Callithrix jacchus: one gene and its partners. The protein of the gene in region 1 purifies or fractionates together with the protein of each later gene. This does not show direct contact. Links are inferred from orthologs where the notes say so. Each region holds a gene or a part of one and is shown in the gene's direction. Other genes may lie near its edges. The genes, in order: ANAPC1, ANAPC2, LATS2, ANAPC16, ANAPC7, CDC26 and ANAPC4.

What was found.
Region 2: the proteins of ANAPC1 (region 1) and ANAPC2 fractionate together in Homo sapiens (co-fractionation; 8 studies listed by BioGRID and IntAct, with this or other methods). This does not show direct contact. The link is inferred for Callithrix jacchus from reciprocal best matches to the Homo sapiens genes ANAPC1 and ANAPC2.
Region 3: the proteins of ANAPC1 (region 1) and LATS2 purify together in Homo sapiens (affinity purification with mass spectrometry; 3 studies listed by BioGRID and IntAct, with this or other methods). This does not show direct contact. The link is inferred for Callithrix jacchus from reciprocal best matches to the Homo sapiens genes ANAPC1 and LATS2.
Region 4: the proteins of ANAPC1 (region 1) and ANAPC16 purify together in Homo sapiens (co-immunoprecipitation; 5 studies listed by BioGRID and IntAct, with this or other methods). This does not show direct contact. The link is inferred for Callithrix jacchus from reciprocal best matches to the Homo sapiens genes ANAPC1 and ANAPC16.
Region 5: the proteins of ANAPC1 (region 1) and ANAPC7 fractionate together in Homo sapiens (co-fractionation; 6 studies listed by BioGRID and IntAct, with this or other methods). This does not show direct contact. The link is inferred for Callithrix jacchus from reciprocal best matches to the Homo sapiens genes ANAPC1 and ANAPC7.
Region 6: the proteins of ANAPC1 (region 1) and CDC26 purify together in Homo sapiens (co-immunoprecipitation; 6 studies listed by BioGRID and IntAct, with this or other methods). This does not show direct contact. The link is inferred for Callithrix jacchus from reciprocal best matches to the Homo sapiens genes ANAPC1 and CDC26.
Region 7: the proteins of ANAPC1 (region 1) and ANAPC4 purify together in Homo sapiens (co-purification; 13 studies listed by BioGRID and IntAct, with this or other methods). This does not show direct contact. The link is inferred for Callithrix jacchus from reciprocal best matches to the Homo sapiens genes ANAPC1 and ANAPC4.

The regions. Positions count from the first base shown.
Region 1 is NC_133515.1:22,696,194-22,700,298, forward strand, and holds the start of ANAPC1 (anaphase-promoting complex subunit 1), read left to right. Parts: upstream 1-1,305; 5' UTR 1,306-1,560; intron 1,561-3,936; 5' UTR 3,937-3,960; coding exon 3,961-4,105. UniProt on the Homo sapiens protein: Component of the anaphase promoting complex/cyclosome (APC/C), a cell cycle-regulated E3 ubiquitin ligase that controls progression through mitosis and the G1 phase of the cell cycle.
Region 2 is NC_133502.1:185,590,107-185,593,606, reverse strand, and holds part of ANAPC2 (anaphase-promoting complex subunit 2), read left to right. Parts: intron 1-80; coding exon 81-222; intron 223-464; coding exon 465-540; intron 541-604; coding exon 605-808; intron 809-3,478; exon of another isoform or gene 3,479-3,500. UniProt on the Homo sapiens protein: Together with the RING-H2 protein ANAPC11, constitutes the catalytic component of the anaphase promoting complex/cyclosome (APC/C), a cell cycle-regulated E3 ubiquitin ligase that controls progression through mitosis and the G1 phase of the cell cycle.
Region 3 is NC_133506.1:140,730,844-140,734,798, reverse strand, and holds the start of LATS2 (serine/threonine-protein kinase LATS2), read left to right. Parts: upstream 1-1,155; 5' UTR 1,156-1,396; intron 1,397-3,955. UniProt on the Homo sapiens protein: Negative regulator of YAP1 in the Hippo signaling pathway that plays a pivotal role in organ size control and tumor suppression by restricting proliferation and promoting apoptosis.
Region 4 is NC_133513.1:57,949,907-57,954,127, reverse strand, and holds the start of ANAPC16 (anaphase-promoting complex subunit 16), read left to right. Parts: upstream 1-1,421; 5' UTR 1,422-1,521; exon of another isoform or gene 1,522-1,684; intron 1,685-1,708; exon of another isoform or gene 1,709-1,762; intron 1,763-4,221. UniProt on the Homo sapiens protein: Component of the anaphase promoting complex/cyclosome (APC/C), a cell cycle-regulated E3 ubiquitin ligase that controls progression through mitosis and the G1 phase of the cell cycle.
Region 5 is NC_133510.1:113,296,502-113,300,001, reverse strand, and holds part of ANAPC7 (anaphase-promoting complex subunit 7), read left to right. Parts: intron 1-1,596; coding exon 1,597-1,708; intron 1,709-2,603; coding exon 2,604-2,757; intron 2,758-3,500. UniProt on the Homo sapiens protein: Component of the anaphase promoting complex/cyclosome (APC/C), a cell cycle-regulated E3 ubiquitin ligase that controls progression through mitosis and the G1 phase of the cell cycle.
Region 6 is NC_133502.1:161,586,204-161,590,293, reverse strand, and holds the start of CDC26 (anaphase-promoting complex subunit CDC26), read left to right. Parts: upstream 1-1,290; 5' UTR 1,291-1,319; exon of another isoform or gene 1,320-1,761; intron 1,762-3,353; 5' UTR 3,354-3,410; coding exon 3,411-3,463; intron 3,464-4,090. Other genes in the region: PRPF4 (U4/U6 small nuclear ribonucleoprotein Prp4), read right to left, coding at 1-162, 937-963. UniProt on the Homo sapiens protein: Component of the anaphase promoting complex/cyclosome (APC/C), a cell cycle-regulated E3 ubiquitin ligase that controls progression through mitosis and the G1 phase of the cell cycle.
Region 7 is NC_133504.1:168,427,738-168,431,237, reverse strand, and holds part of ANAPC4 (anaphase-promoting complex subunit 4), read left to right. Parts: intron 1-459; coding exon 460-557; intron 558-1,133; coding exon 1,134-1,195; intron 1,196-1,275; coding exon 1,276-1,314; intron 1,315-1,408; coding exon 1,409-1,510; intron 1,511-2,302; coding exon 2,303-2,377; intron 2,378-3,264; coding exon 3,265-3,438; intron 3,439-3,500. UniProt on the Homo sapiens protein: Component of the anaphase promoting complex/cyclosome (APC/C), a cell cycle-regulated E3 ubiquitin ligase that controls progression through mitosis and the G1 phase of the cell cycle.

The DNA.
Region 1 (4,105 bases):
GAAATTTTTTTTTTTTTTTTGTTAATCAATGAGAACTTGGTATGTTGCTCAGGTTGGCCTTGAATTTATAGCCTTGCCTCCTCAAACGCCAGTACAACTGGCCAGAGCCACCGCGGCTCCGTGTTTTTTCTTTAAAAAAGTTTAAAGTATCAATTCGGTATATTTGTATTTCTTTATTTTCTTTTTCTTTCTTTTTTTTTGTTTTTCAGAGAGTCTCGCTCTGTTGCCCAGGCTGTAGTGCTGTGGCGCGGTCTCGGCTCTCTACAAGCTCTGCTGCCTGGATTCAAGCGATTCTCCTGCCTCAGCCTCCCGAGTAGTTGGGATTACAGGCACGTGCCACCACGCCAGGCTAACCTTTTGTATTTTTAGTACAGACGGTGTTTCACAATGTTGGCCAGGCTGGTCTAGAATTACTGACTTCGTGATCCTCTTGCCTCAGCTTCCTAAAGCGCTGGGATTACATTTGTGAATCACCATGCCCGGCCTTTATTTCTTAACTTTAACTGTTTCACGAATCTTTGTTTCTATCCTTTCTCCTATAACCCACTCTTTTTTTTTTGACAAAGTCTTGCTCTGTTTCCCAGGCTAGAGTTCAGTGGTGCGATCATAGCTCACTGCAGCCTCGAACTTCCGGCTCAAGTGATTCTCCAGCCTCCCAGGCAGCTGGGACTACAGGTGCATGCCACCATGCCAGGCTAATTTAAACATTTTTCTTTTGTGGAGACAGGGTCTCGCTATATTGCCGAGGCTGGTTTCAAACTCTTAGGCTCCAGCGATCCTCCTGCTTCACCTCCCAAAGTGCTGGGATAACAGGCGCGAGTGGCCGCTGGGGTTCTTAACCTGGGTCTTTGAATCGCCTCAAGAAGTGTCTCTGAATCTGGGAATTGCAAACAACGTTTCTATGAGGACCTTCATACGGTTTATCGACTCTTCGAATTGTATGGACTGCATAAGGGCATAGAGCACCGGCACGTAGAGAAAATCAGCAACCCCTGCTCCCCACCCTCTGCCTAGATGTGCCTACCTTCACGTGGGGTCAAGAGGAAGAAGCGAAACCAGGCAGAAAAAAACCTGAGATCAAGGAGGCAGTTTAGGTCCCTAGTGACATGGCCTGAAGAGAAATTGGACGGCAGGAGAATCCTTTCACTCTATGGACTCTGGCAGACACAATCCTGCTTTGGGGATCGGATCAGTCACACGCCAGGTGGAAAGAGCCCACAAGTTCTGCCCGGCCGCAGTCTTCCCGCAACTGCGCAGGCGCCGGGACTGCTAGGCCACCGCGCGCCTACAGCGATGCCCCGCCCTGGAGCGAGGCCGGACGGGAAAGTCAAGATGGACGCGTGCATTTGAACGTCTCGCACGCCTGCCTGCCATTAGGACTCGTACCCGCTGCTGTTGCCCATTTCTCCTCCAGAAAACGGGAAGGAGAGGGGATGAGAAGCTGCCACGGTCGAGGAGTCACTGTGACGGACCCCGCCGCTGCCCTCGGGCCTCCTCGGCCCTTGCACCTCCGGGGAGCAGCCGGGTCTCGCCGCGCCTGACGCGTCCCGAGTTACACAGGTGCGGCCCCGGATCCGCTGTACTTGGGTGGTCTGTCGCATGCCGCGTGACTCTAGCACCTGGCCCGAGGCCGATCCGCCCCTGATGGCCTTAGGGCTGGGAGCCTGGGGGACTTGGAACCTGGGGAGGGCTCTGAGTGTGCCCCTCGGCCGAGGGGGCTCGGCCTGCGGGCTGGGGTGCTCCTTCTACTCACTGCTTGCTAACCTCTTACCTGAGCTGTGCGCTGCATGCAGTGTTCAGCCTCGGCTTCTAAATTGGCCTCCAGTCTCTCTGAGCTGGTTTTCTGAGCCCCGGCTTGTAGCCTGTTTTCACCGTTCCCTAGAATGGCTGGGGGAAGTTCTTCCTTATTGTGGAGACTTAACTCAGGCTCCGGTTGGTGTGCATTTGGGTCCCCCCCACCGTTTTTTTGGCAGGGTAGTGTTTTTCTGTAGGAATCATTGCTGATATTTTTATTTATAGCATATGAATTAATAGTATTTTTATGTGTAGCTGTTTATGTTGCCCCTAACAAGTAAAAATATTCCTAAAAGTTTAGGTTATTGTGAAAGTATTAAATATGTGGCCTTAATCAGTACAAAATGATAATTTTTAAATAAGTCTATAGTTTTCTGTCAAAGTTATAAGAAAATAACATTATAGGCCGGGCTTGGTGGCTCACGCCTGTAATCCAAGCACTTTGGAGGCCAAGGTGGGCGGATCACCTGAGGTTGGGAGTTCAAGACAAGCCTGACCAACATGGTGAAACCCCGTCTTTAAAAAACAACATAACCAAAAACAACAACAAAAAAACAAAATAACATTATAAAATTGCAGAACTAAAGTTTCATAAAATCAAAAGTTCATTGATGTTGGTTATCTTGTTGAATAAAATATAGGAAGACCAGCTGAATTTTGTTTTCTTGTAAGTTTTATAAGGCACTTTTTAGTTGTGTTCCAAGTTCAAGTCTTTTCAATACTGCAACCTCTACGTCCCAAAGCGATTATCGTGCTACAGCCTCCCCAGTAGCTGGGATTACAGGCGCCCACGGCCACACCCAGCTATTTTTTTTCGGTACTTTTACTAGAGATGGGTTTCTCCACGGTAGCCAGGCTCCTCTCGAACTCCTGACCTCAAGTGATCTGCCTGCCTCTGCCTCCCAGAGTGCTGGGATCACAGGTGTGAGCCACCGCGGTCGGCTAAGAGTAACTTTTTTTTTTTTTTGAGACGGAGTTTTGCTCTTGTTACCCAGGCTGGAGTGCAATGGTGCGATCTCGGCTCACCACAACCTCCGCCTCCTGGGTTCAGGCAATTCTCCTGCCTCAGCCTCCTGAGTAGCTGGGACTACAGGCACGCACCACCATGCCCAGCTAATTTTTTGTATTTTTAGTAGAGACGGGGTTTCACCATGTTGACCAGGTTGGTCTCGATCTGTTGACCTCGTGATCCATCCTTCTCGGCCTCCCAAAGTGCTGGGATTACAGGCTTGAGCCACCGCGCCTGGCCAAGAGTAACATTTAATTGACAGCAAAATAACTTTGTCACCTTAGAGGGGCTGCATAGGAACTACGTAGGCCTTGGGTGTTTGTGTGGCCATTTAGGTCTCTTGCCTTATGAGCAGCAAGTCAATATATGGAAACAGCGGGGTTTGCAGCAGATGAAGTGTTTTACTTGCAGAGCCACCAAACTAGGAGACTGAGGAAACTTCAAGTCTGTCTCCCCAGAGAGTTAGGGTCTAGAGGTTTCAAAGAGTTTGGAGGTTAGTGGGCTAAGGTATTGACTGATCGGAGAATGAAGGATGAAGTCCTAGGATGGAGAGACAAACCACATTCTCATGCTGATGTGGTTCCTTGATGGGGTCTTTAGCCTGCATCATTTCGAAAGAAAAGTCTTAGGCTCCTAACATTAAAAATCCTATGTATAGAAATATGGTATATAAGCAGGTACAGGAAAGTGGGTTAAAGGGCAACCAAATTATGCTTATCTGTATTTTGTATAAAGCCTGGCTGCTTCCTAACCTGTGGTGAAGGCTTTAACAGTTCACATTTTTGTAGTAATAAACTGTACTGTAGAGTACAACTTGTCTAAATACTTCATATATAAAGTATGGAAAAATTGGTGTATAGTGGTAGGAAACATGAGCTAGGTGGTGTGGGACACAACTCGTTGTTGCAACTCAGTGGTTTCCTGTAATGGTAACTGTCAGTCTGTGACTAAAATGTGATAACTGCGTTTGCCTGAAAGAATCAGATCTCGAATGCCCTTTGATGTTATGACTACTTACCAACATGATGTAATTATTTGACATTCATGTAAGAATTAATGACTTATGTGTTTGTGGTATTTTTATTCTAGTTTTGAGTTTTGAAGCTGACCAGAATGTGTTTGAATTCATACAGAAATAATGTTGATATTTGGAACCCATGTCGAACTTCTATGAAGAAAGGACAACGATGATTGCAGCCAGGGATTTGCAGGAATTTGTTCCTTTTGGTCGAGACCACTGCAAGCACCACCCTAATGCTTTGAACCTTCAACTTCGCCAGCTGCAGCCAGCCTCTGAATTAT
Region 2 (3,500 bases), on another chromosome or scaffold:
GGGCATGGTGGGATGGGAGGGGGGTGCCCTATCCTTGCCAAGGTGCCTATCAGGTGACACCCCTGCCCCCGCTGTGCCAGGGAAGTCCAGCTCCAAGCGGCGCTCCTCAGACATTATCAGCCTGCTGGTCAGCATCTACGGCAGCAAGGACCTGTTCATCAATGAGTACCGCTCGCTGCTGGCCGACCGCCTACTGCACCAGCTCAGCTTCAGCCCGGAGCGGTGAGGCCAGGGAGGCGCCAGCCGTCTCCAGGGGTGCTGGGGCCCTTGCTGAGCCTGTCAGGACAGGGCCTGGGCCTGGTTGGACTGTGTGCCACCCCCACTCCTGGCTGGGGCTGAGCTGGCCGCCGGGGTGCCACGCAGGCCCCCTGCTCTGCCCGGGAGGTGCACCCATGACTGCTACAGGTGCTGCTTGGGACTGCAGCCCCTGCGACCCCCGCCCAGACACTGGTTCGTCTCTCCAGGGAGATCCGCAACGTAGAACTGCTGAAGCTGCGCTTTGGCGAGGCCCCGATGCACTTCTGCGAGGTCATGCTGAAGGTGGGTCCCGCCTCGCCCACCGCCCGCCACCCCCAGGCCCCCGTGACACCAGCTCCTCCCTCAGGATATGGCGGACTCCCGCCGCATCAATGCCAACATCCGGGAGGAGGACGAGAAGCGGCCGGTGGAGGAGCAGCCGCCATTCGGGGTCTATGCTGTCATCCTGTCCAGTGAGTTCTGGCCGCCCTTCAAGGATGAGAAGCTGGAGGTCCCTGAGGACATCAGGGCAGCCCTGGAGGCTTACTGCAAGAAGTACGAGCAGCTCAAGGTACCTCCAAGCCAGCCACCCCACAGGGCTCTCTGCACCTCACCCTGTGCTGCGGGCTCAGCAGCCTGGTGCCTATGGCCACCCCATTGTCTCCCGAGTGTCTAGGGTTGGTTATGTCTCACAGCCATCCCTGCAGGAGATGGAGTGGGCCCAGTCCACACTCCCTCTGCCTTCCTCACAGTGAGCCTGTGCCCCCTGTGAGCCAGCGTCCCTCGGCCCCACAGGTGCTCGGGTGGGCTGTGCTAGGCCCACATCTCCTGTGCTGCTTCACGGGGACTCCCGTGGCTCCAGCAGGCCGCACCCACTGAGCATTTCCTCCTCTTCTGCCATCTGCCCTCTGCCTCTCAGAACCAGGACTTGGGGTGCCTTGTGTCACTGCAGGTGAGGGCCAGGGAGCCAGGGCCACCCTCTGCCCAGGGCAGCGCTCCCAAGCGCACCTGACCCTGGGGCCCCAGCCCTGCCCCTGTTTCTAGATATTTCCCGGAGAACTGCATTTGCAGGTTCCCATGGTGCTTGAGGACCAGGGCTGTGGGACTGTGGTGGGAGTCGGGGGGAAGCAGACGTGGGGACTGGAGGAGCGAGCCCTGGCCTGGAGGTGCTGGCAAGTGGGGCCAGCGTGCCCAGAGTGGTGGTATCGGCCGTATTTGGCTCACGTCTCCTGGCAGCACCACCAATCCCAGCAGTCCCAGAACAGGTATCCAGGGCCCTGGGTATGGGACCACGCTTGGAGGTTTTTTCCCTGAGCTCATGTTCAGGTGAGATGTTTTGGGTCGAGGGAAGAGGTTAGGACCCCTGTGCAGCCAGGTCCCAGGGCTTTCAGTCTGGTGTGTGGGGCCCGTGAGGCCTCCGGTGTGCCCAGCGAATGCTCAGGCCTGGGGGGAGCTGAGCACCCCAGCAGGGGACACGTGAGGAGAGGGTCCTGGGGCAAAGCTGGTTTCCAGGCTGCAGACCCCAACCCCAGGAGGGAGATGGGCCAGCCGCAGCCTGGGCCAAGGCCGGCAGGTGGGGCTGAGTTCAAAGGAGGGTCCCCAGCTTCTCCAGGCCTGCTGTGACAGACGCTGGGTCTAGATGTGTTTCCTTTTTTTATCTGCCAAGTGAGAGGGCCTTGCTGTGTTGACAGACTAAGGAAGCTTATTCCTAGGGGAGGGCAAGGTGATGAGTCCACTTTAGAAACTAAGGGGGAAGTTGCAGAGACAGACAAGGGGAGGGCCAGGTAGAGGCACCCGGGGCAGGAGGCGGAGGTTGGGCCAGGCTGCTGATCTTGGTGGCGAGTGCCTGCTGCCTCCCTCCAGGCCTCAGCTTGGCTCTGGAAGAGTCCAGGTATCCCCCGCAGCTTGCCTGCCCCGGTGGAAAGGAGGGCCCTGGCCATCCCCCCACCTCCAGCTCCAGCCTGTGTCTCCAGAGTCTGCGGGCACCGAGCCTCCCCCGCCCCCTGCCCCCCGCCCTGCCATGTTCTGGTACAAGTCATTGGTGTGGCCGGGCTCCATGCACAGTCCCTCTCCCACTGACCCTCTGGCTGCCTCAGGCTCTCCAGTGCTGTTTCTGGGCGAGGCTCCCCTGGCCTCCCTCCAGGGTCCCCCTGGGATCCCAAGTGTGGCTCAGCCACTTCCCATTCCTCGGGCCTGACGTCCTGGGGCAGCCATACTCCAGTGCCCTTTGTCTTCACTTCACGGGATACAGGATGGCTCAGGAAGGTGCCGGGCTGTGCTGAGAGGTCCCACTAGCAGAGCTCCTGGCCTAGGGGCCTCGCTGGGCACATGGCTGGCATGCAGCCCTTTGCATCTGTACCTTAGGCACTTTGCTGGGCATGTGCTGGCATGTAGCCCTCAGCATCTGCACCTGAGCTCACTGGGCACATGGCTGGCATGCAGCCCTCAGCATCTGCACCTGAGCTTGTTGCTCCTGAGCCCTTCTTCCATTCTGGTGCAGGCTGATGAGTGGTGTTCGTGGAGGTCACGGCCCTGGAGCCAGAGCCAGGACCAAGGCCAACCACTGACTCCACCTCTATCTTCTGTCCGTAAAGTGGGGTTCGTTTCCTTTAAGAGCTGCCAGATTGGCCTGGCGGGGTGGCTCACGCCTGTAATCCCAGCACTTTGGGAGGCCAAGGCGGGTGGATCACGAGGTCAAGAGATCGAGACAATCCTGGTCAACATGGTGAAACCCCGTCTCTACTAAAAATACAAAAAATTAGCTGGGCATGGTGGCGCGTGCCTGTAATCCCAGCTACTTGAGAGGCTGAGGCAGGAGAATTGCCTGAACCCAGGAGGCGGAGGTTGCAGTGAGCCAAGATCGCACCATTGCACTCCAGCCTGGGTAACAAGAGCGAAACTCCGTCTCAAAAAAAAAAAAAGAGTTGCCAGATCCTGGAAGGGCTTAGGAGCCTGTGGCCCACAGAGCAGGCGTGTCAGTGCCCTGGTGCCACCAGAACAAAGTGCCACAAACCAAGGGGCTTAAAAGACCAGAAATGTATCATCTTATAGAGGTCAGGGTGAGCAGGGCCCTCTGGAGGCCCTAGGGGAAGGCTGCTTCCTTGCCTCTACCAGCTCTCTGGGGGCTGCAGGAGCTCCGGGGCTTGTGGATGGCTCGGTCCAGTCTCTGCTGCGTCGCCCGGAGTGTTCCCCTGTTCTGTTTGTATCCCCCTCTTGGACACTCACTCTACTCCAGGGTGACTTCATCTTAATTATATCTTTAA
Region 3 (3,955 bases), on another chromosome or scaffold:
CCTTTATTACTGTTTACCATGAGAGTAAAATTTAAAAATTTCACAAGAGTTTATCAATTAAAGAGAAAATCGAGTTTACTTTAAAAGTATATTGACCCTCAGCATCACTTGCCACAGACATGGGTGGTGAGAAGTATAATGTTAGAGCCAGAAGTAGATTAAGGATTTGGCTTCCAGTCTATTATTTCTACTCTGAATCTTTGCATAATCCCCACTTCTGTCCCTGTAGCAGATCCACAGTCCTCAAATGGATAGATGGTGGAGCTGTTAAAAACCCACGACCTCACTTGCTGGTATACAGTACTATTCCCTACACCATAAAGCACTTCTTGGAAACAAAATATACACAGGGAGGGGAGGTCGATTAAATTAAATCAGATCAAATCTGGGTGTGCATCAGACGTTCTTTTTTATTTTTTTTCTTTTAAAAATGGAGTTTCGCTCTTCTTGCCCAGGCTGGAGTGCAATTGGTCAATCTCGGCTCACTGTAACCTCTGCCTCCCAGGTTGGAGCCATTCTCCTGCCTCGGCCTCCCGAGTAGCTGGGATTACAGGCATGCACTACCATGCCCGGCTAATTTTGTGTTTTTAGTAGAGATGGAGTTTCTCCATGTTGGTCAGGCTGGTCTCGAACTCCCGACCTCAGGTGATCTGCCTCAGGAGACCTCAGCCTCTCAAAGTGCTGGGATTACAGACGTGGGCCACCGTGCCCGGCAGACGTTCTTCTTAATTGCTTGATTCCACTGTCTCAATAGCCGCCTTTTTCTTCCCCTATTCTTAGTGTCCATCCCCTAGTTGGCAACTTGGTGGCTCCTTCAGGTTTGCCAACTTTTTTTTTCCCCCACCAAGACTAGTATGAGATGCTTAAGAACAGTGCCTTTGACGACTGTTACCAACTTTTAATACAAGTGCAGCCGAGAGGGCAAATACTCAAGTTTGGGGGCGGATAGCACAGAGTCAAATAGGTCCGAGAGGCCCCCGGCGAGCTACCACAGGGCAGCAGGGAGGCCGCGGGCAGGTGGCGGCCGAGGCCCGAGGCAGGAAGCACGGCCGGGCGGGGCGGGGCGGGGCGGAGCGGCCGCCGAAGAGCAGGGGCCGCAGGCGCCCCGCCCGGGCTGGTATGCGGCCGAGAGTGACGCGGGAGGCGGGGTCACGTGACGCCCGTGGAATGCCAACAATGTAGCGAATGTCCCACTTGGGTCTGCGCTTTGGAACCGCGGCGTGAGCGCCCCGGGAAGATGGAGCAGCCGCCGTCCACGCCACCGCCGCCGCCCGGGGCTCCCCCGTCCCTGCGGGGCCAGCAGCAGCTCCAGCCACCAGTGCCCGGTCTCCTGGCGCGCGAGGCCCGGGAGCCGCGGGCCAGGACACCCCCGAGGGTGTAGACCGCGCCCCAAGAGGTGAGGGGGCCGGGGGCAGGGGTCGGGGCGGCAGCCGAGAGGGTGGCCGGCGTTACCGCGAGGCGGTCGAGCCTTGCAGCTCCGCGCACTCACCGTGGGACCGAGGCTCCAGGAAGGGCGCCCGGCGGGGCGGCCGAGGAAGTTTGTCCGGACTGAGCCCTGCGCCCTGCCCCCACGGTCCGCGCCCGCCCGGAGCCGCCCCCGCCCGGCGGCGCGGCGTCTCGGCCGTGCAGAGCCCGCGGAGCCGGTTCCGGAGGAGCCGGGGAAGTTGGAGGCCGGCGTCGGGTGGGGGCCGCGGGGCTGCGCTGCTTTGTTGTGCTGCGGCGGGGGCGGCCAGGATCCTGACGGGGCAGGGGCTGCGCGGGCCGGGGGCGGTGCCCCAGATCCGAAGGGGCCGTAGCGCGGGGTTCGCCTCCGCTTCCGCTGTCCCCCGGGGCTCGGCTTTCCACCAGACGCCCAGCCGAGCTCCCCTGACAGCCCCGAGACCCCAGCGTCCGGCCGCGCCACTGTCCCACGGAGACGGCGTCGTTCTCCGGGCCGCACCATCGTCCCACGGGCCAATCAATCCTTCGGGGCCCGCCCCGGCTGCCCCCGCCGGCCACCCCGTCGTCCCGCGAGCCGACAGCCCCACGGCCGTACCCGGCCGAGGCCGCGCCGCCCCTTAGCCCCTGGTGGCTGTGCCGCCTCGCCCAGGCTGCGCGGTTCCCACCCAGTCCCCCGCGGCCGCTCCGCGGGCCCGCCGGCCAGTCAGCCCCTCAGAGGCCGCCGCACCACTGGGGCGCCGATCCTCCCGGGCCGTGGGCTGCCAGGCCCTGCTCGTCGTCTCCCGGCCGGCGGCCGCGCCGACGCTGCGAGTTTGCTAGTGGTCTTGGCGGGACGCGGCCCGAGGCGCAGGAGCGCTTTCGTGGCCATGCGAGCGGCGGCCGTTGCATAACACGCCATTCCCGTGCCCTCGTTTAGCGACGTGTGGGGGGCTTGGCTTTCTCTTCTGATGCCAGCTCACCTGCCTGTAGCTCCTTAGCGGGACTCCGGAGATGGGGATTCTGACATCATTCACTTCTTGCCATCACTTCCTCCAGCCCAACTCTAGAACTTCTGGGAGCTTTCCCTCGGGGATGGAGTGCGGCCTGGCGCAAACCCGTTTGCGAAGTCCAAGTCTCCAGTGTCCCGGGGGCTGCGGGCATGGGGGTGGGGTGGGGCGAGGCGAGGAATGGACCCTGAAGAAGGTAAAACCCACCCGACCGGGGCTCCAGGCAGCTGGTAACAGGGTCCCGGGTGAGCTCGGCTAGGAGGCTGTTTTGAGGCCTTTTGATGAGAAATGCTGTTTTGCCAGGATCACTTTGAAAGAACTTAACTTGCAGGCTTTGTTGACAAAAATTTTGTTGTTTTTTTGTTTGTTTTTGAGACAGGATCTCACTCTCTCCCAGGGTGGAGGGCAGTGGTGTGATCTCCGCTCACTGCAGCCTCTGCCTCGCAGGTTCAAGCGATTCTCCTGCTTCAGCCTCCCGCGGGGCTAGGACTACAGGGCCCGGCCACCAGCCCAGCTAATTTTGTGTTTCTAGTAGAGACAGGGTTTCGCTGCGTTGGCTAGGCTGGTTTTGAAGTCCTGACCTCAGGTGATCCACCCTCCTCGGTCCCCCAGAGTGCTGGGATTGCAGGTGTGAGCCATCACGCCCCACCTGAGGAGAATTTGAACAAGAACTTTTACATTTTCACGCTTCTCTGGCACAGATATAAGTGTTTTTAATGAATAGCATTAAAAAAATTTTCACCTTAACTGTGAAGCCATAGAGTATTCATACATTTGGCCAGTAGATAATTAAGATTAATGGCTGAACAGCTCTTTTTCACAAAATATTCAATAAATATGTACATTTTAAAGGAAAGTTTGCCCATATTTTAATAAGAAACATATATACTGGAATTTGAATGGGAAATCACAAAATGTGTGTGATCTTACACAAATGTTCTGCTTAAAATTTTAACTTGGAAGATGAGAGGCCTTCCCTTAATCATGGAAAAAGTAACTCAGGGCTGATTATTAGTAAATTTGTACTAAATCTCGCTGTATATTTTTAGTAAGCTGCTTTGTATGTTTTTAGGGTTTTTTTTTTTCTTCTGTGACAACTGTTGTAATAAGATAGTAACAGAAAAACTCCAAAATGAGAATGTATAAATTTTTTACTATGTCTATTTAACTGTAATTATCAAGATATGTTATTCAGCCTCTCACAAAATTTTGTCCCATTATGCAGGTATAGAAGGTACTGTTTAATGAATATACCAGCGTTCCTTTGAAAATGAGTTTGTGAACATTTAATAACTCTCCAAATCTCAGGCAGTTTAAGGTATCTGAGCAGAGGCTAGCCTGTCTTGCAAAATTATTACGGTGAATTACTAGAATCATACAATTATATAACTGGAAGGGATTTTTCTAGCTTCTCCATTGAGTTTGAAATAGTTTAAGTGTAAATTGGAGCTGTACATGTTCCTTAGCAAATCGCAGGGTTGATGGGAGGGGCTTTCCTTTGGTGGGAGGGAAATGCTTTTACAATAAGA
Region 4 (4,221 bases), on another chromosome or scaffold:
ACAAAGTGCTGGGATTACAGGCGTGAGCCACCACATTGGGCACACTCGTATCTATCTAGCAAGACAGTTAAGACAATGAGGGATATTTAATAAATTTAACCACCCAGAAAAAAAAAAATACCCCTAAGTACTTTCAGAGATGCTAGACATTCATACCAATCAGCTGGTTACCTGTCAAAGCACAGTTAAAATAACAACTTAACCAATATGGTTCTCAGACCAACATATTGCTGATGGAAGGAATCCAATTTCTACAGGCCACTGCCCAACAAAATGCACATCACTCACTGAGAAACCAAGCTTCTGGTCACACCACTTAATTAATCAATAATTTAGGAAACAAAGGTTCTCACAGGCTAGCTGAGGTTAACTTGCACCAATATTCCTACCATGTACAGCTTGAAGCCCAAATAGTCTTGAAGCCCAAAATACTGAAGAGTTCCAAAGAAAACAAGTCGATCCTTAATAAAAACACTAATGTTCAGTCCAATCCTCAGCAAATAAGTCACTTTAATGGATGGTTTGGGTTGGGCGCGGTGGCTCACATCTGCAATCCCAGCACTTTGGGAGGCCGAGGAGGGCAGATCACCTGAGGTCAAGAGTTCGAGACCAGTCTTGCCAACATGGTGAAACCCCGTTGCTACTAAAAATACAAAAAGTAGCCGGGCGTGGTGGCGGGCGCCTATAACCCCAACTACTCGGAAGCCTGAGAGGTGGAAGTTGCAGTGAGCTGAGATCGCGCCACTCCACTCCAGCCTAGGCGACAGAGCAAGACTCCCTCTCCAAAAAAATAAAATAAAATGTTTAAAAATAGTAATAATTGATGGTTTGTGTGCTTACAGAACCAAGAAGAGGTTTCGTGAAAAATAACAAAGAAGGTAAACCGACAGGGATGAAGGAAAAGGGCACATAATTAGCAACAGTCGATGACATCATACCCCAATGGCCTATTCCCCGAGGCCTCTAAAATTCTCAACAAAAAAAAAACCTTCAAGGGGAAAGCTGAAAAAAAAAAGTTTCCCACAAAAACAGACTAAGGTGAAGGTCGGGACCTCAGGCCACAAGTTCCCGAAGAACCGGGGTCCGGGAGACAGCAAAAGTAGCATCTACCTGCCCTGCATGGCCCTGCGCTACGAGACTGCTCAGAAGGAAAGAGGGGAATAACCAACTTAACCCTGCTTCGAGGTGGTTTGGAGAAGAAGAGGAAAGCTGTGTCTTTCTGCAATACCGTGAGGGAAGCCGAGGCCCCGAATCATCAAAGAGAAGAAGAGTGCTAGAGGACTGCAGGCAAACCAAGACAGGGCGAGAAGGCGAAGGAGCCGGAAGTCCTCTCCTGGAGCGCGTTCCCTACTCCCCTACTCGCGTCTCAGCCCTGGCCACGCCCACCACGCACGGACGCGCGCACGCCGCCGGCTCCCATTGTGAGGGCGCGAGCACGCCGTCGTCCTGGTCGTGGTATGCGCAGCAGCTCCGGCGGACCCTGGGGGTGGGGCTGTAGGGGAAAGTGCTAAAGCCGCTGAGGTAAGAAGCCGAGGGCTCAAGGGCCCTTGGGAGCTTGGTGAAAAGGGAGTTAACCCCTAGGATCCTACCTGCAGGGACTAGGAAAATGGAGAAGGTAGGTGGAGAAACAGGAGACTGCTGTAGAAGACGTGCGAAAGGAAATTTCCCCAGGCCGGGTTGGACTGACTGCGCATGCGGGCCGAGGGGTGGAGACTGCGCAGTGGGACAGCGCCGATGGCGTCGTTTCCTGGAACCCAGCTGGGTGGGTAGCGTGGCTAGGAGTCTGCTTGGGAGCCGCTAGTGTTCTGACGGCTCCCTCTCCAGCCCCTTTCTCTCCACGTCCCACCCCGCAGTTCCAGCTGCGGCTTCTATTTGGTTTGGGTTGTAATCCAGCTATTCTTAAGTGGAAAAATTTGTTGATGGAATTTAATGATTTCTTGTAATTTGTACTAGGGTAGGAACTTTTAAGGAATTACTTTTTAAGAAAATAGGCATATATCTGTTAGAAAGGAAAGGAATTTATGAATGCGAGTACATGAAGTAAATGTTTAAGCATCTTAGCTCGGACACAGCAATCTGTGTCCAGAAAGCATCATTACTCTCCTGTGAGGATCTCCACTGCCAGCCCCAACCTCCCTGACAGGGCCAAGTCCCAGGATACTTAATCATCAGTATTTACTCAACAAAATTTTACTAAGCACCTCCGGTGAGCCCGGCCAACTAGTCGAAGATAGAGTTGTGCGAATACATCTGCACAATGAGAAAAAAAAACTTAATGGACCAGTACTCATGACACCGCACTTCTCTTACCTCCTGCTTGACCTTTGCTGAGCTGCATGCCCTGCGTTCTGTCATTTGTTCATCATTCATTCATCTGAAATGCCCGGGACTGGAAGCACAGTGGAAACACTGTGACCCAGGTTCTGTGCTCGGCATTGAGGGTAGAAAGACTTTTCGAAGGTAGCAGTATGTTTCTTAAGATCGTGAACCTTAAAATGAAAGTGTAAAGTGCCTAGTAGAGGGCATTGGCCTTCCTCCTGAACAGATTCTTTCCCCTCTGGGAGCTTGCTGACTGTTTTAGATAGAGAGAATTAAAACTTTTTCCATGAAGTTTTTTCATAGTAAGCATGAAAAACTGGGATCTGCATAGGAAAAACTCGGGAGTAACTCTCCGTTAATTATTTTGAATAGCTAAGATTTATGAAGTGTTTAATAAGCCTATAACTGTTCCAAGCGTTTTACATGTATTAACTTATCTTGTCACATCTGTGTGAGGTAGCTGCCGCTATTACAGGTTGAGTATCCCTAATCCAGAAATCCAAAATGCTCCAAAATTTAAAACTTCTTGAGTGAGGGGATGGTCAAAGGAAATGCTAATTGGAGCATTTTGAATTTCAGATTTTCGAATTTGGGAGGCTTAATCATTAAGTATAATGCAAATATCCCAAAACCTGAAAGAAATCCAAAATACTTCCAGTTCCAAGCATTTCAACCTGTTTCCCATTTTGCAGATAAGACAACCAAGGAACAAAAATATTAAATATGCTGGAGGTTGCAGTTTTTTGAATTTCTGCCATCAGACCTTGGCGATGATCTTGAGCAGTCGGATATAAATTACTCCCACATGGTTAGCGTTCCAGTAATGGAACACTAGGCATAAATGGGTTAAATTATTTGTCCACAGTCATGCCGCAAGTAAGTAGTGAAACCAGAACTCAGGCAGAGAGGCTTCATAATCTTACCCGCTATGCTGCTTTACCTTGCACATGACAAATGACATGCCAACAAGCCATTGCTTCAAAATGTCACAGCAGATAAGCTAAAATTGTCTCTATACCTCAGTTTTATTTTTTCATGTATAAAATGAGGAAGTTGGATTAGATGACCTTTAAGGAATCTGTGGTTTCTGTGAAACATTTAATTCATTCAGCAAGCATTTACTGAAATGAACAGCTACTTCCCCACTATAGGCCAGGTGTTATGTTTGGTTCTGGTGATTACTTAGTGCCTGCCTTGAGAGCAGTTACAATCTCTAGGGTGTATTAGTTTTGCTTTACTCTCATTTACCACTCGCTGGTAGCATTCAAAATTTAACCTACATCTTTAGAGCTAGAAAATACTTTGATATATCCTTCCACCTCAGCAGAAAACTACTTACAGTTAGCTTTGTGCTAATTCTGTGCTCCAGTTTTTAATCCTGGCTGTTTTGTGTATGGAATGATAGTAGTTCTGAGAGTTGGAAAGAAAACAAGATGAAAGGGAATTCCTTTGATTATATTCAGCTTAGAAGTCACACTGTGGCTAACTTTTGAAGCTGTCCTCACTCTGGCAGTTGCTTGGGTGCTCTGCTGAGCAACTGACTTCAAAATATAAAGTATAAAGCATTTGCAACTGAATAGAGCATTTATCAGGGTGTAGGAAAAATAGAGTTTTAAATCTTAGGTGAGATATATAAAGAGTTCACAGTGGGTTCCACTCTGAACTGATGAGAAATAAAGACTGAGCTACTCTCCAAAAGGTGGCTAAGTTATCTGTATGCTTTATTTGAATCCCACCAGGAATTCACATGAAGATTTGGACCTGATCCATCACTGCTTAAGTTCAAAAACAGTTGAAAAACTTGTCAGGCTATATTTTGACCCACTGCAGTCCAGAAGATTGGATATGAATCTGACTCCAAAAATTGTTGCCTCTGTGGATATGAATACAATTTGGAAAGTT
Region 5 (3,500 bases), on another chromosome or scaffold:
CAGGAGGCTGAGGCAGGACAATCACTTGAACCCGGGAGGCAGAGGTTGCAGTGAGCTGAGATTATGCCACTGCACTGCAGCCTGGGCCGTCTCAAATATACATGTACCTCCAGCAGTCAAGAAAGGATCCTAAATTTAACTTTTTATTCTTTACAAGTATTGACAGCAATCCTGGAGTTCTCCTTTAAGAACTTTTCTTTGCATTTTCAAATTAGCCTAATATGGAAAACCTGAGGCCAAGTAAAAAATAGTTTTATTTTTAGTATTTCATTATTCCATTGTTTGAATTATGGTATATTAGATTGTTTTATATAATGTAGCTCTACAATTGGAACAGATATTCTTTATCTTCAGCGTCACTCTTTCCTGTAAATATTTGGCATACCAAACCACAGATAATTGAAGAGATTGGGGTTCTTTTTTTTCTTTTGTGCCCTCACATTGACTGCTTTCTTAGTTAATAATCTAGCAAATAGTATTGTGTTTAGAACCTACTAATTTTGCCAGGTGCAGTGGCTCATACCTATAATCACAGCACTTTGGGAGGCCTAGGTGGGTGGATCACCTGAGGTCAGGAGTTCAAGACCAGCCTAGCCCCAATATGGTGAATCCCTGTCTCTACTAAAAATCCAAAAAAAATTAGCTGGGCTTAGTAGCGTACACCTGTAATCCCAGCTACTCAGGATACTGAGGGAGGAAAATCGTTTGAACCCAGGAGGCAGAGGTTACAGTGAGCTGAGATTGTGCTATTGCACTCCAGCCTAGGTGAAAAGAGCAAAATTCTGTCTCAAAATATATATATATAATTTTAAAGTGGAATATTGTGTTTATCTCTGTACTATTAGGAAGGTTTTTTTTATCACTTTCCTATAACTTCTGCATTCTTTGGAACTTTTAGATTTTTTTCAGATTTTTCTCAGTTACATGTTAGGTAGGATTATTTTTATTTAGCTTTAGCAAGTTGCATGTTTAAATTATGCTAAAATGCAGCTGCCTGCAGTCACTGGATTTAAATAGTATAGCCGATTTTCATAGCATTATTTTAGTGAATTAGTACCTAGGGGCCAAAGCCTTAAGTGTTTGAAAGGCTAGAGTCCAGCCCCAAGTCGAATTCTCAGAGAAAAGCCCAGTATTACACTGCTTTATCTGTCCTTCTGTATCATTTCCTTTTAGGGGAAAACTCATCTGATCCTTCTTAACTAGCTATGTCAAGAGTTTCTCACTTTCTTATGTGAGGTAGTTCATCTTCTGTTTTAAGATCAAGAAAGAATCGAGTTAACTAGCATTCTCTACCATTTCTTAAAGAATGTTACTCCTGTTTCCAGAGGCAGCGTCTTTTGTCCCGATATTACTGGGCCTTGTGGGAAGGTAATTTTACTTTCCTCTTAGGGATGGGAAGTACTAGGGAAAGCAAGGGTAGTGATTTCTTCTTGCTTTTGAAAAATGGGGTCAGTCTCCCTTTATTTGCACAGGGTTATGGGTAGATTTTCCAGTAAAAAGTAAGTAGCTGGTAATGAAAATTAGGACTTCTTCATTGTGAGAGATTTTCTTTGCAGTATACACTTATTTTACTGTCTGTTGTTTGTGTTTATACAGATAAACATGATGCTGGCAAACCTGTACAAGAAGGCTGGTCAGGAGCGCCCTTCAGTCACCAGCTATAAGGAGGTGCTGAGGCAGTGCCCGTTAGCCCTTGATGCCATTCTAGGTAGAGATATTTTCTGCCTGTTTTCATGGCATGTTTACTGTCAGTGATAGTAGTTCTCAAAGTTGGCCGTACATTAGAATAACTTTTCTTTTTTTTGAGACAGAGTTTCGCTCTTGTTACCCAGGGTGGAGTGCAATGGCGCGATCTCGACTCACCACAACCACTGCCTCCTGGGTTCAAGCAATTCTCCTGCCTCAGCCTCCCGAGTAGCTAGGACTACAGGCGCACACCACCATGCCCAGCTAATTTTTGTATTTTTAGTAGAGACGAGGTTTCACCTTGTTGACCAGGATGGTCTTGATCTCTTGACCTCGTGATCCACCCGCCTCGGCCTCCCAAAGTGCTGGGATTACAGACGTGAGCCACCGCGCCCGGCCTAACTTTATTTTTTAAAGTTCCCCTCCAGAGAGTGATTTAATAGGGTTTCTATTGTCACATATTCAATCAAGAAATACTTAATAATGGTTTTTGGCTGGGCTCGGTGGCTCACGCCTGCAGTCCTAGCACTTTGGGAGGCTGAGGTATGTGATTGCCTGAGCTCAGGAGTTTGAGACCCTCTCTCTACTAAAATAAAAAAATTAGCTGGGCATAGTGGGGTTCGCCTGTAGTCCAGCTACTTGGGAGACTGAGGCATGAGCATTACTGGAACCCTGGAGGCGGAGGCTGCAGTGAGCTGAGATCATGCCACTGCATTCCAGCCTGGGGGGGGACTGGAATGCGAGATTCTGTCTCAAAAAGAAAAGAAACACTAAATGATATTTTTTCTGTCATATATCTCACTTAGAATAGGAAAGCAGTTGTCTTTTAGCCGAGGGAAAATGTAGCCCATTGCTCCTTGCATGTGGAAGAGAGATGTTGTGCCTTACCTTCTTTCTCCTGCTTTCTGTTGGTTTAGGCTTGCTGTCCCTTTCTGTAAAAGGGGCAGAGGTGGCATCCATGACAATGAATGTGATCCAAACCGTGCCTAACTTGGACTGGCTCTCTGTGTGGATAAAAGCATACGCTTTTGTGCATACCGGTGACAACTCAAGAGCAATCAATACCATCTGGTGAGAGCCACAAAGTTAATTCAGTGTTTTTGAGGCCCTGTCCTTGTCTAGAAGTCTGATGTATCTGAAGGAGCAAAAAGAAAAATAAGATGCTTCTCTCTTGTTGCTGCAGCCAGTCTCTGGGCTATGTTAGTCTTTTATACTGAATGGTCCCAAATGTAATCATGTTTTCATGTCTGTTGGGGACCAGTAAAAATGTAAATCTGACTTAGTTTAGTTCTGCACATGCACAGGTAGTAACCCTTGCAAAGCAAAGCAAAGCAGTCTACCTTGGTGTATCATTCTTTTTTTTTTTTTTTTTTTTTTTTTTTTTTTTTTTTTTTTTGAGACAAGATCTCTCTCTCTCTCACCCAGGCTGGAGTGCAGTGGTGCAGTCACAGCTCAGTGTACCCTTGACCTGTCGATCTTCTGGGCTCAAACCATCCTCCTGCTCAGCCTCCTGAGTAGTTGGGACTACGGGTGCATGCCACCACACCCAGCTAATTTTTGTATTTTTTTTATAGAGATGGGGTTTCACCATGTTGCCTAAGCTGGTCTTGAATTCCTGGGCTCAAGTGATCCTTCCACCTGGGCCTCCCAAAGTGCTGGGATTATAGGCATGAACTACCACGCCTGGCTTTAGTGTGTCATTCTTTAACCTGGAAGAAAATCATTTTGCACTCCCCAGAAGCATAGTTTATTGCAGCATCTAACTTGACTTGCCTTCTTAGGACTGGGGATTTTCTTTCTGTTCAGCTAAAGTT
Region 6 (4,090 bases), on another chromosome or scaffold:
TCCAGCTTCGATTCCTGCTTTAAGTCCTTCTTTCCCCAAAATCCCAGATTCTCCTTTGGCCAGACGCTCCCTCTCCTTCTCTTCCAAACTTCCATAATAGATATGTGGCTTCTTCACAACCGGAGCAACTAAGTCATCAGGTGCTTTAGTTTTGGTTGCCTGCTAAATCAAAAATCTGACTTAAACTAACGCTTAATCTTAACAATTTGCTGGACTTCCCCAGAGGATGAAGCTCACCCTGAGTTTCACAGTCCTACTTCCTCTGTAATTGAAAGGACAAATTGGACACTGCTTAAGATGTTCTTCATTGATTTGAGGAGATGAGGGTAGGGGGAGGGTGTTTCAGTCCCTCACTTTGGTTGACAGGATTGATAAAACTAGTGAGGTTCTCTCGGGTATTTTTCTATCAAGGGTTTGCTCTGCAATCTGTTTACTTCATTCTGTTGGAAGTGTGCAATCTCGTGTTTTACGATGCTTCCAGGGTTACTGCTCATCACTGGGGAAGTACCAAATATAGATGAAATAACTAACGCGGTGCTAAAGAAGAACAAGTTACAAGATTACTAGCGTATATATTTCAAACGTTTCTAGACCTGAGGCAGTAGGAGTTAGTAGGTCTCATTAAAGTTCTGAGATCTGCCAAAGGCATCAATCTTGGCCAAGACACTTCCCTATTTCAGAGCACCGTTACTGGATCAGTCCGAAGAGATGTTTGCCCTTCAGGGATGTAGTCGGAGAGGTGCAAATAAGCTATAGTCCACGAAAGCGCTTAGGGATCAGGAAAACGGTGCTCGGCTGTCTAGGACACGGAGTCCCACAGCCTTCCTCCTCGGCCCTCCACCGCCTTCTCCCGTTCCCTAACGGCCCCTTCCCGCAAGGACCCCCTTCCCCCTTCGCGCTTCCTGCCAGAGTGAGCTGAGATCCCGGGCTCTGTACCGTGGAGGAAGCTCGCGAGGAAGCCATGCCGGGCTCTGGAGAAAAGCTACAGCGAAACCTGAGGTCTCCGATTCAGATCGTCCACCGCGCGCCCAGCAGAGCGGATGAGCATCACCGATCGGAAGTGCGTCACCGACCGGACGTGTGCCGAGAGCCGTAGCCGCGCCCGGAGCGGCGCGGAGCATGATGGAAGTCGTAGTAGGAAGCGGTGTGATCGTATTGAGGGGCATGCCTCCTAGAACATCGGAGAAAGCTCGCGCAAGACGAGATTCTGCTGAGAGAGAGGCTCCAAGTAGTCTGGGAAGTGTAGTCCAGTTGGCTTACCAATAGTTTCACTGGGGGAGCGGAGGTTCCGGGAAGGGGCTGAACAGGCTTGAAAAGAGGTAGGTGCGTTGCGTCGCGCGGCTCGGGGCTGAACTCTGGAGCGAGTCGAGGACTTCCGGGGTCCGCCGTGCCACCCGGGCCTACCGGAGCGTTTAAGTCTTCCTGGAGCTGAAGACCTTGTTACCATGGAAATCCTCGCCAGGGATCCGAGGTACAGGCTTGGAGCTAGGGGACAAGGGCTGTTTTTCTCCACAATCCGGAAGTCTTCTTAGGGGCCCCCTCTGAGCTTGATGGCTCCGCGGTGGATTTAGGCTGCTAGAAGAGCTCCCTAGTGCCAAAGTCAAATAAAGACCCGGCGGAAGAGCTTCGGCCTGACTTTGTTGATTTGTCTAGAGCCGGTCGTTGTATCAGATTGAGAGTAAGATGATGGATAGGAAGGTGTCAGATAGCTCTGTACGTCCCTGTGCCCTGCTGGATGCTGGGGAATTAGAGACAAACAAGGTAAGTTTTTTTTTTTCTTTTGAGACGGAGTCTTACTGTCGCTCAGTCTGGGAGCGCAGTGGCGCGATCTCGGCTCACTGCAACCTTCGGTCCACCCCGACCCCGGGTCAAGCGATTCTCCTGCCTCAGCCTCCCGATTAGGTGGGATTACCGCCACCGGCCACCGCGCCCGGCTAATTTTTGTATTTTTAGTAGAGACGGAGTTTCACCATCTTGGCCAGAGTGATCTTAAACTCCTGACCTCGCGATCCACCCGTCTCGGCCTCCCAAAGTGCTGGGATTACAGGAGCGAGCCACCACACCCGGCCAGGATAAGGCTTTTATCTCCACGTGGGAGGTGGATGATTCTCAAAACATTGAGGTTTCCCTAGCTGGCCAGATCCCCATCCAACCCCCTAGAAAAATTACAGTAATAATAGATTTTATTTATTGCACATTTTTAAAATGCCAAGTTATGTTCCAAGAGCTTACTCTTTACTCTGCATTATATTATTCACCAACAATAGCAGAGTCAGATACAGATGAGGAAACTAAGGTCTAGTGAGAGATGAAACTAATTATTCAAGATCAGTGGTGTAGTGGGATTAACCTCTACAGCCACACTATTAACTGTTACTCTATACTTCTTCCTAGTGGAGAGTTTTTCACAGTTTGCAGAAAAGGTAAAATGTATAGCAGATTTTTTTTGTTTTTTGTTTTTTGAGACGGACTCTTGCTCTGTCACCCACGCTGGAGTGCAGTGGCACGATCTCGGCTCACTGCAACGTCCGCCTTCCGGGTTCAAGCGATTCTCCTGCCTCAGCCTTCTGAGTAGCTGGGATTACAGGCGCCCGCTACCACATCTGGCTAATTTTTGTATTTTTAGTAGAGACGGGGTTTCACCATGTTGGTCAGGCTGGTCTCAAACTCCTGACCTCCTGATCTGCCCGCCTCGGCCTCCCAAGTGCTGGGATTACAGGTGTGAGGCACCGTGCCCGGCCCTTACTGACTGTTTTTTATAGATACACTCTAGGGGATTTTAGGGGATGCTGTGGAGAATATACAAGTGATGTCATCAACAAATATTAAACTCAATTGGAGGAGTTGTGTTTTCTCAAAAAACAAACAAAACAAAAACAGTTTTTATTAACATTTACTTTGCGATTTCAGGCTGTGGAATGCTCTCTTGAGCCTGTTTTCTACTTCTTTTTTTTTGTTTGTTTTTGAGTTGGGGGTCTCATGGTGAGATCGTGGCTCATTGTGGCAACCCCAAACTCCTGGGCTCAGGTGGATCCTTCCACTTCAGCCTCCTGAGTAGCTAAGACTGCAGGCACACACTACCAGCCCAGCTAATTTTTTTACTTTTTTGTAGCGACAGGGTCTTGCTAGGTTTCCAGAGCTGGTCTTGAGTCTCCTTTGTGCACTCTTCTCTCTGCCTGCTCTTGGGAGTGAGTCAGCTAAGACATCATTTTCTCCAGGAAGGCTTGCCTGACATCCTTGTCCACCCCACACTCAGCCCAGACTGGATTAGGTGCCCGTGTGATGCCAGTGCCTTACCCTCATCAGAGTTCTCATTATGCAATATCAAAGCTTTCTCTTTGTTTTCTCCACAGATTATGACTGTACCTTTTAACTTTGTAGCTGGAGCACAAGAAGTATTTGTTTAATGAATGACGGACACATTTAGGATCTGTTTAAACGCTGAGAATAATTTTGTGAATTGGTGAGTTGGCGTTTTCATGAGATTTAGCAAACTGATTCTAGCATTCAGGAGTGATCACAAATCTCTGACAGTCCTCATGTAGATTAAATTCAGCGGTTTGTCTACTTTCCCCTCTATACTAAGTTAAGATGTGACAGTTTATTCTTTTAGCTAGAATATTTCTTTGAACGTGACTGGAACATGAAATTAAAGTGATGGTTGCCTGGAATTTCTCTCTTTTAGGCAGTTTGCTATTTTAAATTCTTACAGAATAGTTTTTGGATTTTTCAGAGTTGTGGATCTCCGTCATGTATTAAAAATGTAATAATGACATACCTAAAGACTTAAGAAGTCACTGGGCACAGTGGCTTTGGCCTGTAATGCCAGCACTTTGGGAGGATGAGGAGGGAGGAACACCTGAGCCCAAGAGTTTGAGACTAGCCTGGGCATCAGAGAGAAATCCCATTTCTACAAAAAACACAAAAATTAGCCAAGTGTGGTGGTGTACACCTGAGTTCGAGCTACTCAGGAGGCTGACGCAGTAAGATTGCTTGAGCGCAGTAAGTTGAAGCTGCAGTGAGCTAAGGTAATGCCACTGCACGCCAGCCTGGGCAAAGAGCAGACACTATTTCTTAGAGCAGACCCTAT
Region 7 (3,500 bases), on another chromosome or scaffold:
CTCCTGGTAAAGTAACCTTTTAAAACGTAAAGAGCTTATTTATATAGAGCTAGTTTCCAGTCTCCTGTTTTTGAGACTCTTACAAAACAGTACTGGACTGTTACTGTCATTTCACTGTGGCAAAGAAGAGAAGAATGAACTTTATTTCCTCATATATTTGGTGGTTCCCAAATCGTTCCTTTCTTCTTATAGCCAGCAGAAACATACAGTTGGATTCTGGTGAGTCTAAGCTTGTACTAAGTGAGGTGGTTTTTAGTGAGCTGTCAGTGGGGTTTGATGAAAGGCAGAAAAGGCCCTGGTCGTTTTAATGAGGTTGTGTGAAAATCCAGTGAAGTGATCAGTGAAAATTCTACCTTGAGATAAACTGTGCAGACTGCCTCTAACAGTAGATTATTTTCTTTTAATTATAAGTTTGCTATAGCTTCTTTTATTTTTGTTTCTGTTTTTGTTTGAAACCAGAAAGTCCTTTGCTGTTTCCTTATTATCCTCGAAAATCATTGCATTTTGTGAAAAGGCGGATGGAGAACATTATTGATCAGTGTTTGCAAAAGCCAGCAGTAAGTTTGAAAGAAATGCATGTCTTTGTGTAGGAGCAATAGTGACTACAGTATGTGGCTCACTTATGTAAATGATCTTAGTTTTTAGAATGAACTATGAAAATGTTGATATTCAGCTGTTTTTGACTAACAAAAGTACAATTTCATATGGTTCAACCTAATACTTTTGTTAGTTTCTTACACACACGAGTGTGTGTGTGTGTGTGTGTGTATAAAGATTACTAAAGGTGTTGGCATCTTGAGTATTTTATTTGTTCTGAGAAGAAATTCACTGTAAACAGTCTTAGTTACAGAGCTGATGTGTCTCATGTTTACTACTGAAGGCTGTGAATGAAGGGTTGTTATGAGACCAGAGGGGGGGTGGTCTTAAACCTGCCCTATGCTCAGCTCCAAGGTCCTTTTCAGCTCAGAATTTTCTTTTTCCTCACTGTCAAAACTGTCACTAAAGTTTCTCATAAAGGTTTGGTGATATAGATGATTTTTTTTACTACATTCGAAGAGTGATGGTCACTTTCTGTAGAGTATCTATGTGCATATAAATGCTTTAATTGTTTTTAAAAATCTTATTTTATATAGGATGTAATTGGGAAATCGATGAATCAAGCAATCTGTATTCCATTGTATCGAGATACCAGAAGGTAATCCTGTTTACCTGTTGGGTGGTGTAATTTGGCAGCCCATTTAAATTTTTCTCATTTCTTTTTCCATTTTATTTTAGTGAAGACACTGCACGTAGACTGTTCAAATTTCCTTTTCTGTAAGTGTGTATTTCTTCCCTATCTTGCGTGAACAATACAATTTTGTTTTAGCCATCAACAGTTAAAAAACGTTATGACAATTTTTTTTCTTAGGTGGAATAATAAAACTTCAAATCTACATTACCTTCTTTTTACTATTCTAGAAGATTCACTTTATAAAATGTGCATCTTAAGGAGACATACTGATATTTCCCAGTAAGTATTAATCTGAATCAAAGAGATAAGATTTTATTAAGAATGAAGCGTACAGCCTTCCAGCATTTCAGATTTTAAACTACTTCGTTACTTTTAGATTTGTCATTTGCTAGTTTTCATCTAATTAAGATGGTAACATGGAATTAGGAAGTCATATAATCTTGTTGTAGATTAATTTCGTATTGGCATATAATCATTGTGTATAGGACTTTTCTTTAGATTTAGGAAAAATATGACAGCAGAAAACTCAGGATATTATATCTCGTTTTTTAGAAGTTAAAAACTTCCAAAAAGTTAAAGTAACATTTTAGAAGTCATAAACTTCTAAAAGTGGCTGCCTTCTAGAAGTGATTTTTGCCTAGGGTTAAGTATACTTTTCATTAAAAAAGAGGCCTTGCCTACTTCCTTTGAAATTCAAAGTAAAAGTTCTGAAAAATAAAGCATATTTAGAATGCCATTGGTATCTTAAAAATGGTTTTAAATCTGAATTTGAAGAAAATGTTGAGCCCAAGATGTAACCAAAAATAATTTGGTTATTTCTATTCCAAATTGTCTCTGGCTAAGTTATCTATTTACTTTGGTGACTGTATGATTTTAAACCAAGTTGGTTTATCTGTCTAGGCGCTTAAGCCAGTTCTCAGTGTTCTAGAGAAGAACAATGGTGTTTTTGGTCTGGGATTTGGTATTAGGTAAATGTACCGAGCCTGACAATCATGTTCTTCTAAGCATTTAGATTATTGACTATCAAGGTTGTTCTACAGCGTCTCTGTTTTTCTCCCTTCCTTCTTTAAGATCTGTAAGTAATGGACTAATTGCTATTAAATTTGGGAGCTTTACATATGCCACAACGGAAAAAGTCAGAAGAAGGTAAGTCTTGCATCTTGTTTGGATGAAATGTACATACACATATGTGTGTGTACGTTTGGGAATGTTATCAGACTCAGTTACGGTGATAATATAGGCAAAAGGGCTTTGTCACTGCCAAAATAGAAGGCAGGATTCTTTGTATTTATACATAGAGAATGATTTGACTCACGATGGAATAGAACCTTACTGCCCTGCAGGAGTTTATGTCATATGGTTTCCTATAATTACTACTTCTGAGCTCCCTGTTGGCAAAGAAAGTAACGTGCTTCCAGTGGGCAGATAGCCTACGGGGCCGAAATACTTGTTAGGGCCAAAAAATTATGAGGCGATGCCATTCTCAGTGATCGGAGATTTTCTCAGGTTTCAAAAGGGTAACAGTACCTAAGCCGTCCCCAAGGCTTCGCAAGGGAAAAAACTGACTAATCACAGGCTGATCTTTTTCTCACTTTTTTCCCCTCACATAAAAGAAGTTTTTGTTTTATGACAAACTTTTGGAGTTGCTGTGCCTATTTTTCATAGGTAATATCTTATTTTTTTCAGTCGAGTCAAGTCTGTTTTCTGAATGTGTATGTAAGGTGTCATTCATAGAATTTCCACAGGCTTAAGGCCTAACCATTGATAGGCAAGGGTTTTCTAGAACTGAAACAGCTTCACAGATTCTGGAGGGTCATGATTACCCATTTTTAAGATCTAATTATATATGTGAATAATCACTGCAAAAAGTAATTGAGTTTAATACAAACCAATGATGTATTTTAAATGTTATTGTACAGAATGTCACTTAGGTTTTAATTTTTTTTTCTGCTTGCTGCCAGGATAATATACATACAGTACTTTCTCAGTAGTCATGACCATCTTTGATATAACAAAACTTATTTTAATTCCAGCATCTACAGTTGTTTAGATGCACAGTTTTATGATGATGAAACTGTAACGGTAGTTCTTAAAGACACTATCGGACGTGAAGGAAGAGATAGACTCTTGGTCCAGCTGCCTTTGTCTTTAGTATATAACAGTGAAGATTCTGCAGCATATCAGTTCACTGGGACTTATTCTACAAGGTAACTAGTAAAACTGTCTTTCTGGTATTACAGTTAAATGTTTTTTAATGCACATTATAAAT